Saccharomyces cerevisiae S288C: one gene and its partner. Changing the gene in region 2 together with the main gene of any one other region gives a genetic interaction. Each region holds a gene or a part of one and is shown on either strand. Other genes may lie near its edges.

Region 1 (5,179 bases), on a different chromosome or scaffold from region 2:
GCAGCTCTATTTATACCCGTTCCTCCATCTGTTATCACTACTTAAACGATTCGTTAACAGATGCTCATTTAGCACCTCACATATTCTCCATATCTCATCTTTCACACAATCTCATTATCACTATGAAGATGTTCTTGTTTTTGAACGAATCATACATCTTTGATAGACTTCGTATGTGGAGTACTGTTTTATGGCACTCATGTGTATTCGTATGCGCAGAATGTGAGAATGCCAATTATAGGGGTGCCGAGGTGCCTTGAAAACCCCTTTTGCGCGCCTGCGAAGTTTCCGCTTTCGGTCAAAAAGAAAATCCGAATTTAGATTTAAGACCCTCGTTCAGAAGCTTATTGTCTAAGCCCATATTCAGTCTGCTCTAAACGGCTTCCATGGAAGTAATATTTCTATCTCTTGAAATCCGTACAAGATATTAGACGTGTGTTGGGAGTCGTATACTGTTGGCGTCTGCAAATTCGTGAATTCTCCGCGAATGCCTTGGTGCAATTACGTAATTGTAGCCGCTGAAGGCGGATGGTTTTGAGAGAAGTTGATGTTCAAAGAATCGTGTATGATAAAAAAGAATGTAACCAGAAGCAGGATTAAAACTCGACGCAGAGGAAAATATTTGATTCCGAGATGTAACCCCCCCTTTTCTAGCCAGATATGAAGGAGAAAAGTGTAAGGGCAATAGATGGCGCTAATTTATTGAATCCAATTTTAAAAATGTTCTCTAGGAAAAATATTAATAGTTGATCCTCCTTGTAGCTTCTAAGTCAAAATAAATGTTTCTATCTTTATGGTAACGGCTCATAGTTACAGCTCAATTGCGCTTCTTGAATGTATTTCCAAAGTTCAACGTTTAATGATCTAGGCGACGCAGATTTTTTTGAGAACAAAAGGCTACTAAAGTTCCGTTCAAAGAATGCCTGACAATCAGTCCCATCAAAGAAAAACTCTTCGTTTTTCCAGACCCTCTTTTCAAATAATCGTGTATTCGTTTTCCTTGCAATTGTATCCCATTTTTCAGGGCTAGCACCCTGCTCGTTTATAATATCTGATAGGTACTGCATTTTATCATCAACTTTCATCGATTTAGGCCTTATGTTTTGAAAATCATCTATCATTCTAAAGAAAATGTCTATTAGCCAATAAGATACCAAGCATGCTGGTGATAAATTTGCACAAATAAAGAAGTCAGACATATCAGGAAGGAAGTCTAGTGGAGAGAAAGAAATCCTGATTCTCTGGCAACTCCATGCTAGCTTGCAGCGATAGGTTTCCTTAGGAAGCTTGACATTTTCCAACATAGTAAGTTTGCATTCCTTCTTACCATGGATCAACCTCCACTGTGCGTTTACTTTTGTAAAATAAACCTGCACCGCGTCTTCGGTGTAAGGGACCAAAATCTCAATTGAACTGAACCTAGGATCTTCGTTTTGTCTCCTCAAAACAGCTGGCTCTAGAATGGTTTTCCTGAATGCTTCTTGGCAGTCAGTACCATTAAAAAAAAAATGTGCAGTTTTCCATGCTTTGTTTTCATACAAGTAGGAATTGAAATGTATTGCAACAGCGTCCCAATCAGCAGAGTATGCACCTGGTGCACTTTTGATGATTTCTTTAGAAAGCTGGGTGAGTTGATTTGATAAAGTATATTTACTGTACTGTATTTGAACTACTGGCAAAATAGCAATTAGCGCCAGGATTAGAACTACTGAAGTCAGAAGGGGATAAAACCAAGTACTGGCCATCCCCCACCAAACGGCAAGCGGTAACCATGATAGCGACCAGATCCAAAATCCTGAGTTGCGAATCTCACTGCACAACCATGTTAAACGGTTTCTGAAAATATCCTCGGGCAAACAAAAGCTACTATGGGTCTCAAGACCTTTAGAGGACAAAAGTCTAATCTCTTCCCCCATATTCAATATAGTGTATTTCACATTAATGTTATGAGGTACGTAACAAGTTTACTGAGGTTTAATCACTCGCAGTGTTTTTTATATAATTCGCAAGATGAAATTTGTTGACAGCGCGTTCATCACGCAGCTGTTGAGTTTTATAGTTAAAGCCACGATCAAAAAAAGAGCAACAGCTTCGAGCAGTTTCGAGTGAAAGAGAATCTATGTTGGTTTATGTTCCGGAAGCACGGGAGAAATGGACTTCACTCAAGTACCCAAGTTATCACTAAAATGTAAGTCAATGTATGTTTACAGATACGAGCTGCGATGTTTTATAATACATGGTACACAATAGGTGAAGTATTGTGGCTTATTTTTGAATTATCAAACAATGTAATAGCTTTCCAAAGCATACCATATAACTCCTATGAATTAAGCGGCGGTCTCATTATAAAGTCGGGACACTTTTTGGTCAAAGCTCTCGATTAGTTTTTGAATACTGTGCAAAGTCTTTAATGATATTGTCATCAGTTCATAATCGAATTCTCTGGTACATTTTTTCTTATTTTATTGATCAATGTTAATGTCAGTTTGCTGGCTCTTGTTTTTTTTTTTTTTTTTTTTTTTTGACTGTTAGTTAAGTTGCCCAGCTAAGCTTACTCAATGAGTTAAGTATTTATTTTCATATTTTCATCATAAAATACTGCGCTATCTCGTGCCCTCGTCTCTTATACAATAGGCAGTACTTGACTAGAATCTAGGAGTGCTTTTCCTGAAACTCTCTATAATAACAACCCATCTCCCGCCGATTGTATAGTGAGCCAAGTGTTCTCATAATGGGGGTCTTGAAGAAGACTTCAATGGTGTCTCATAGTAGCAGTACTAGTAGTGCTAGGAAGATGAGCATTGTACAGCTTACTTTTCGTTATTAGTGATACATGACTGAGTGATTGTAGTTGGTAATACTGGATTAGTAATCGTTAAAAAGCGATAAAAATTAATTGAATGTCCACCCTGCATGATTAGTCCTTTTTATCTGGCTGGACAAATGAAGCCTATTATAAGTATTAATATATTAGCTGCTGCAGACTAGAAACGAAAGCAGTGATAAATCATTGATAGACACACATTTCCTCATCGTTGTTCTTCATTATTTACAGGAAAGAGCAGAGAAAGGAAGAAAGAAATTGCAAAATATATGACAATTAACACAAAGAACATAGTTGTTGTTGGTGCTGGTGTGTTTGGTGTGTCTGTGGCAAATCACTTGTACAGGGAACTGGGTGGGACATACGCAATAAAGCTCGTCACAGCATCTAATTATGTGTATTTTCTACCCTCAGCTGTCCGTTTGACGGTTTCAAAGGATTATACCAAGTCGATCCTGCCGTTAAAAAATGTTCTTGATAGTGGTATTGAAGTTATCAAAGATACGGCTGCCAGCTTTGATGATAAGGAGGTAGTTTTGGGGTCAGACAGGGCCATAAAGTTTGATATCTTGGTTCTTGCAACTGGCTCAAAGTGGGCTGATCCAATTGGTTCAACTTATACCTTCGGGGATAACTATAAAGAGTATTTTGAAAGAGAGGCTTCTCGAATCTCAGATGCAGATCACATACTTTTTCTTGGCGGTGGCTTTGTTAATTGTGAACTAGCTGGTGAATTGTTATTCAAGTATTTGGAGGAGATCAGGTCTGGCAAAAAGCGTATTTCCATTATTCATAATTCCGATAAGCTACTGCCGGACTCTGGGTTATACAACGATACCCTAAGAAAAAATGTGACAGACTATCTCTCAAAAAATGGTATTACGTTGTACTTGAACACAGTAGGGGCTTCTTTAGACACCTCGCCGAAACGTATTTTTCTAGGTGAGGGCTCATCTAAATATATAGATGCTGATTTGATTTACAGAGGCGTTGGTATTTCTCCAAATGTGCCGGTCAACAGTATTTCAGACCTTTGTGACAAGAAAGGGTTCATTCAAGTTGAAAAAAACTTCAGGGTAAAAGCTGTTGAGGCAGGAAACGTTTTTGCCATTGGTGATGTAACGAATTTTAGATATCACGGATTGGTTAAAAGAGATAATTGGGTTGATGTTTTGACCCGAAATGTTATAAGTTCTTTACAAGAAGGAACAGAGGCTAGTCTCGTTGATGCAGATTGTCTTGAGACAGGACATGCCCCAAGTGGTGTCTCCCTTGGGCCAAATGCAGGGTTTGGCCAATTTCCACTACCGTTACTTGGGACGATTAATATTCCATCGTTTTTAATTTCTAGAGCAAAGTCGAAGAATCTTTTCTCCGACAAAATGGAACCTTTATTCAAAAAATAGACTAAAATATGAACTGCAGCGTATATATATATATATATATATATATATTAGTTTCTGTATTGTGAAACAAAGAAGGCCGCTGGAAACAACAAATGTTGAACTTCGCATTCAGATAATAATCTATTAAAACCCGAAGTTACTCGAAAATGTTAGCTTTGGATTCTCACACTATATGTAGTTTCTTTGACAGTAGTAAAACGGTATTACACCTGTGCATTAGAGTTATCAATCGCTTGATAACAATTTGACATTTTGGAGGGTCCATGAAGATAGGTACTGATTTTACTCGAAGTGTGAATGTTTTATACCGAAGTTTTGTTATATAGAGATACAGATATCAACAGGATTGACCACCTTCTTTTTTAAACCTAGTATAATGGGGACGGTGAGAATTAACAGTTAAGGTATAGGCGTGATGCCATGGGAGGGGCAAATACGGAACTGGAGTAAAGTATTGTGTGGTTTAGGTGCTGGGAAAAAGAAAGCATTAGAATGCTCAATAAAACAGCGGCTTCCCGCATAATATTTTTTTGATTATTTCATTCCGAGAAAGGCCGATATATGCAGAGGCTACGTGTTGCTTGCCAACTTCAGTATACTTTGCTTGCCACTACCAGAAATTGACCCCGGGAACTTTATTTTTTAAGTGCCTAAAACTTATTTTCCTGCAGGGCGCGCAATAAATAAGGGATATAGCAAAACTTGAAACGTGGGGTAGTTTCGTGCCTTCTTATGTGCCTATCTTGATTTTTGCCTTTGTACCTGAGTCTCCTTACCCCGCGATACCCCACCGTATAGTCACTTTCCCTTGGCACGGGCTAAAATGACCGTAGGATGAGCTCAGCAAACAGTTCATTCCACGTACACTTTTCTTTTATTTTTAGCTCGCCACTTTTTTGATTCAACACTCCCCCCCATGATACGTCATTTTATAAACTTTTCGTGCGGA
Region 2 (6,015 bases):
TCAAAGCTTTTATCTTTTGGCTATCTTCGCCAACTCTATAAAAGGCTGTACTCCTATAATTAACTGATAAATAATTCCCGAATCATACTAGTATTTATTTTCTATGAGTTGTGCTAAACAACGACTTTTTGAAATGCAATATGCTGAAAAAATCACTTTTTAGTCGCAAAGTCAATTTTGGGTGATCGAGGGTTTTATCTTTTTATGCACATGTAATTCTTCCCAAGAAATAGGAATTTCTTCCCAGATGATATTTTCCAACACTGCTTCGTAGTTATAATAATCTTGCAATGCCAACCGTAAAATAGTAACGCATTTCTAGAAGAATTTCGCAATTCATTTTATATTTTTTAATCAAATGAGAAAAAAGTATAACGATTAAAAACTCTCTAACCATGTATTGGAAAAAGATGTTGCAACTTATGTAATATTCCTTGGCAGGGTTTCCGGGGCCTGTGCGCAACTTTAACGCCATTTTATGCAGGCCGAGCATTCTAAGCCTCAAAAAAAGTTGTATCTCCGAACCTGCCAATCTTTACTGTCGTACCAACCAAGGGTATGAAAAAAGCAAATAAGGCCTACAGCTTATTCAGCTTAGTATACTTCATCAGATTTATGATAAAATTTTTTTGCACTGATCCATCATTTTTTTATGGAACTGGTGGAGGAAGCTAGTTAAACCGCGAATTAAGTTAGGCGATGCGATGCGCCTACGTATTTTCAAAGTTTTACTGAAATTGGCTCAAAGCATAATTGTGATTGGAATGGGAAGCAATAAAAAAATGACTTTTGAAGTTTTCAGTTTGAATGACTTTCGATTAAATGTTTTTATTGATAATTGAGCGAAAGTGGTAGAAAGTATGTACTGGCTATTTTTCTTCCAAATATAGCCGAGACCGAACAAAATTTAAACAAAACAATTAATTAAATTATTCATTATTCATTATTCATATTAGAATATCAAGTTGTAAAAAGCTTGAAAGTCTTTTTTTTTAAAAAAAAAATAGACTGGACATGAGTCTTATAAATAAAGGGCAGTGAAAGAAGACTAGTGTATTAGAAGTGTATCCGCATGTGATATGACTATTTAAGTGTCACAACGGCATTCTTTTATTGCTGATGATAAGATCTAGAGAACTCTTCAGGGATGTTTTTCTACATACGTTCTAAGCTTTCCCACCTACACTAAACCAAATACTAATAAAGTGTATAAAAATTTCCGGACCACTCAAACAAAATTTCGCTCAGCAATACTTCAAATCTTGACTTGCTTTTATTTTTATCTTTCGGTTTTCCACCTGACGTTATCAACTTTTCTTTAATGAATTGAACTTCCAAGCTTTAACACTGTTCCTGAGCCTCTTGAGTATTGACATAAACAGTCAGACCTTCTCTCGTATTTTTATAGATCGAACTTGAACCATCAATTTGGTGCAATGCAGTGCAATTTGCATTTGGTTCAGACACTATGTCCAAGAAAAGAATATAATATCAGTCAAGGTTTCACCCCTCATTCCAGGCGTGACGGGATTTCTTTAAATTTCCTATTTTCAAATACCGGATATATTACTTTCTGCGCAATTATCAAAGATAAAATATAGTAAGCAGGTATTAAACATCAATTCCATTCCCTCTAATTATAAATCAATTTGCTTCTCGATACACATAATCTATAATACTCTTTTACATAAAGTTTAACGTGTCTGATGGATCTAGCAAAGCATCCCAGTCAATATCGAGTAGGTGAGTAGTTTCAAGATTAGATCTCTGGTGAGTTGCCTGCTCAAGCTGCTGAATTTCTTGTCTTTTTTTTTTCATGGAATCCTCAAGAAGCAGTTTTGCGGTCTTTTGTGCTTCAAAAGCAATACGTGTACCGAGAATTTGAGTAATATTATCTAACGTTTTCATGGCAGTAGCAACATGTGAAAGACTTTCCGGTGTGTCGATGGCAAGAAGGACACAGACGTACTGGAATGAGGTGCTCAACACATTCCACCATGCTTGATCCAGTTTTACAAGAGCGTATGCTGCTGATAGCGCAGTGTTGCCGATATCAATTATTTGTAAAACAACATTTTTATCAAGAATATGATTCAGCAAACGAAGTCTTCTATACAAAGAGAGGCATATATCACCCTTGGTCAACGACAAAAACGGATGTGCGTTTGGTGATTCATGAACGGCCGCCAGGGCCTGCAACAATTGCGCTGCGTTTGCGTTCACGCTGTCTTGGGGAATCAGGTGTGCTAACGCGACTAAATGAGCTGTAAAATTACCGTCCGTCTCCTTAACTGGCTTGCAAGTAATTCTATTCAGCGTAACACTTGAGCGCCCATAGTCATATGAAAGAATGGTATTGATTGACCATGCACACCAAAATAATCTTCTAGTGTGTTCGCTCACTACAGTAGTTCTTTTTGGTGGAACGTTGTTCGATATCGCTATATCCTCTCTGTCAATCTCATGATGCAGGCCAATTGCCTCAGAAAGATGGATGGTTACGCAGCTAGCTAACCATGCTACATGGGGCCTCGAAGTGGCTCGCAGGTAAATGGTGCGCAAAACCCATGCGGAGACTTGCTCCACCGTGGGAATGCGACTGAAAGTCGGGTCATCAAGGATCCCTTTGGCATATTGTACTATATCCATCTCTCGGGGATGGCCAAGACTTCCCATAAAAAATGATCCTAAAGCTATCACCCCTGCAATAACAGCCCCATACTCTAAGGTTTTTACGTCGCCATCCCAGTATTTTTCAACATTCTTTGCCAGTTGCTCTGGATTAACAACATCAAATATCGGGTGAACAACTGAAAAATAAACTTTTGAGATACGGTAATACTCTTCCTTTGTAACTAAATCAGAAAGAAGGACATGTGAGTTTGGATTTTCTTCCGGTCTGATTCCGCAATGCCAAGCGAAGGAATGTAGGCGTGGAGGATTAGTTGATCGGAGTTCGAGACCAAGACAGCGGGGGAAAGCAACTGCAGAGTGCTGGATCGTGTACCTAGACTTAGTTGGATCTACAATGTTTTGACTTGTAACGTTCTGTGTATTTATAGGCTGCGGTTGTTCGTTTCTATGTATACCCGGAAGAACAAAAGGTCTGCTCTCCGTATCAGGAGATGTTTCACCTACTTGTTGCACTTGAGGTGATGCCGAAGGGACACGACCGTCAATATAATGACATACATATCCATAGGCAACGCACATTTCACATGGAGATTTGCCATTACATTTCCTTTTACGTTCCCTACAGGGCACGCAAGCCTTTCGGACTCTTTGTCGCTTGTGTGGTAATGCTGTCGATCCTGGGGATGCCATTTGGTGAGCTTAAAGTAGGAAAGTGTGCGCTAAGTTATCTTACTGAAGTTCTTTCAGGTTTCTACTTGAAAAAATAATGTATCTTTTCACTCGAGAATGGCCTCTTGTAATTTTCATATTTATCGCACGATACGGGATATACTGGCTCCTCTCTATCACTTTGATCGTACTATATTTATTTCTATTAGTTTGGGTTATATACCACGATGAAGTATTTCTCTATATATGAACTTATTCTATAAAATGCTGCTTTTCGGAGATCCTTTTTTTAGACTTCATAAAAGTGCTCCATGCATACGTTGCTGCGACAAAAATGCCAAGTCCGCTCAACCCGATGCCCATGTACCACGAACAACGATATCCTTTCAAAGGCTTGGCACCTCCGTCATTTACTCTAGATTCAATTGTACCTGCAATACCCAAACCTATCGATATCGAATAGTTTACCACCGTATTAACCAAAGAGGCTGCAAGACCTTGATGTTCGTGTGGCATCGAGTCACTAAGCATTATTGTAGCGGCCGGAAAGGACATGTCCATTCCCCAAGGCATAACAATGATTGACACAAACGTTTGAGCCCAATACGTTTGGTGAACGGGGGCCGTAGCAATCAATATAGTTCCGACTGTGAAAGCTGTCATCGCAAAAAGCATAACTGTGCTTGGGGGTGTATGGCTTAGAAGGAAACCTGTCGTCACGGCTGCACAAAATCCACTGATTGCTACAGGTGAAAACTGTGCACTAGAAAGAAGGGGGGTTTGGCCCCTTGAGTCTTCCATGAACTGCCATGTATAGAATATCCAAATACCAAAGCTGGCCCATCCCGCAGCTATGCAGCTAAGTACAAAAGCAGTATCACTAGAAAGAGCAGCAAATGGTAGCAGAGGGAAAGCTGCTCGGGACTCGATATATGCAAAAATAACCAAGAAAAAGGTACCAACTATCAAAAGAGCGTATGTGTATGGAGTTTGCCAACCCACAACGGGGCCTTGGTTCCAAGCGAAATTAAAGAGAATTAATCCAACAACGCCGGTAACTGACCCTGCAAAATCGATTCGTTCCAACAACTTGAAAGATGAGGCATCGCGGCTTGGCATGGGGGTGTGAGGGATTACAAAGTAACCTGCTACAGCTAAAACAAAGCATGCAATACCCATTATCCAGTAAGCCCATGGCCACCACGCCAGTTGACCCAACATGGATGAGAAAACAGCCCCAAGGAAGAAGCCACCAGGTGCTGAAGCACCAAACAGACTAAAGACCATGTTTTTTCTTCTTCCTGGCTTATATGTGCGTCCGAGAATCGCAATGGCATTTGGCAACAAAAAGGCCGGACCCATGCCTTGAAATGCACGACAGCAGTCAAAAAAAATCTGATTAGAGTAGACGCTAAACCCAGCAAGTAAGGACCAAAGTGCGTACCAAAAGAAGCCAAGGACAAAGAATTTCTTGTGTCCGAAGATATCTCCGAGTCTTCCAGCAATTAAAATGAATGTACCAACAGTTAGCGAATATGCGGAAGCAAACCAACTAAGTTGTCCAGCATTCGTTGTTCCAAAACTGTTACCGATGATGTGAAGCGGCGCTAATGATTGTCCAAGTCCTGCCTGAGTCATTAGTTGGGCAGAGCACAGCACTCCGACAAAGGCACTCTCCCATAAAAGGGATTTAGGCCTCTCATCCTGAATATCAAACTCTGATAATACTTTATCCTCCTTTTTCAAGGCTTCCGCGTTTGTATCCAAGTTTTTCTGCGTTACGGAGGAGCTAGTTGACATATTGATTTTATGTTCTTTATGTTCCAGCAATTGATGAATGTACAATATTTGTTTTCTTTTCAGGTAGAGAGTGAGATAGAAGTAAGTTTCCACAAATGAAGTTATTGGAGGCTAGATATACTACTCCCTTGGTATTTAAAACTGCTGCCAAATCTCGTTTATTTTAATCCCTACCGATAGCTCATCATTGAGAGCTTCCGCAATATCCGCACATTTCGTGGAGCGCTTCACGTGAAAAGAGTGGCCCATTGAAAAAAAAGCTGAAACATTCGTAGCGACAACCCTGGCGACAAGCGTGGCGACAACCGCAATAGCCGCCACAGCCGCAATAGCTACACATCACCTTTTTGGGCTTAAAGTGGTAGGTAATTTTGCTTGGCGCGGTTACCTACCACTCTAAGCCGCAACAACAGAACACGTATGGAAAGCTTGCCGCAATTGTCATCGTTCTGGCTAGTTCATTCAACGTTTTAGGTTTCCACCCCGTTACATTTGCACGTTCAGCGTAATGAGCGTGGGTACTCGATGATTGTCGTTTGTTAAGGCTAATCTAGTTGAAAAAGAAACGCGTGAAAAATGTTATTGAAGTTTCTTATCCAATTAAGATTTCAGCTTTTCAGCTTTTTTTCTAGGCGCTCACTTGGTTCCATACCATTCTTTTCAAAAAGTCTGCCATGTAATTATACGAATACTGTGAATCTTTTATGATAGCATGCTCCTATTATAGATGTGATCGATGTCTGTGTGCTTCTGGGCTTACAAACGAGGATATGCACACAAGGTTCCAAATTGCCGAAGCTGCAAAGAAGCAAGCAGGCTCCTGAAGCACCGAATCAAGATCAAATCATTGTAGCGACTTATTTTAGATGAACTTTGGAAAGCGGCGTCTATAAAAGTATAAAAAAATACAGC

The links.
Region 1: mutations in RDR1 (region 2) and AIF1 together harm fitness less than expected from each alone (positive genetic interaction), as found in Saccharomyces cerevisiae (one large-scale study listed by BioGRID).

The regions. Positions count from the first base shown.
Region 1 is NC_001146.8:776,653-781,831, reverse strand, and holds AIF1 (Aif1p), read left to right. Parts: upstream 1-3,093; coding exon 3,094-4,230; downstream 4,231-5,179. Other genes in the region: YNR075C-A (uncharacterized protein), read left to right, coding at 229-321; COS10 (Cos10p), read right to left, coding at 792-1,916. UniProt on the Saccharomyces cerevisiae protein: Putative FAD-dependent oxidoreductase involved in the resistance to cercosporin and other singlet oxygen-generating photosensitizers. Translocates from mitochondria to the nucleus under apoptotic conditions, where it degrades DNA and induces apoptosis.
Region 2 is NC_001147.6:1,048,599-1,054,613, reverse strand, and holds RDR1 (Rdr1p), read right to left. Parts: upstream 3,325-6,015; coding exon 1,684-3,324; downstream 1-1,683. Other genes in the region: AMF1 (Amf1p), read right to left, coding at 3,556-5,103. UniProt on the Saccharomyces cerevisiae protein: Transcriptional repressor of multidrug resistance genes, such as PDR5. Required for growth on non-fermentable carbon sources like lactate or glycerol.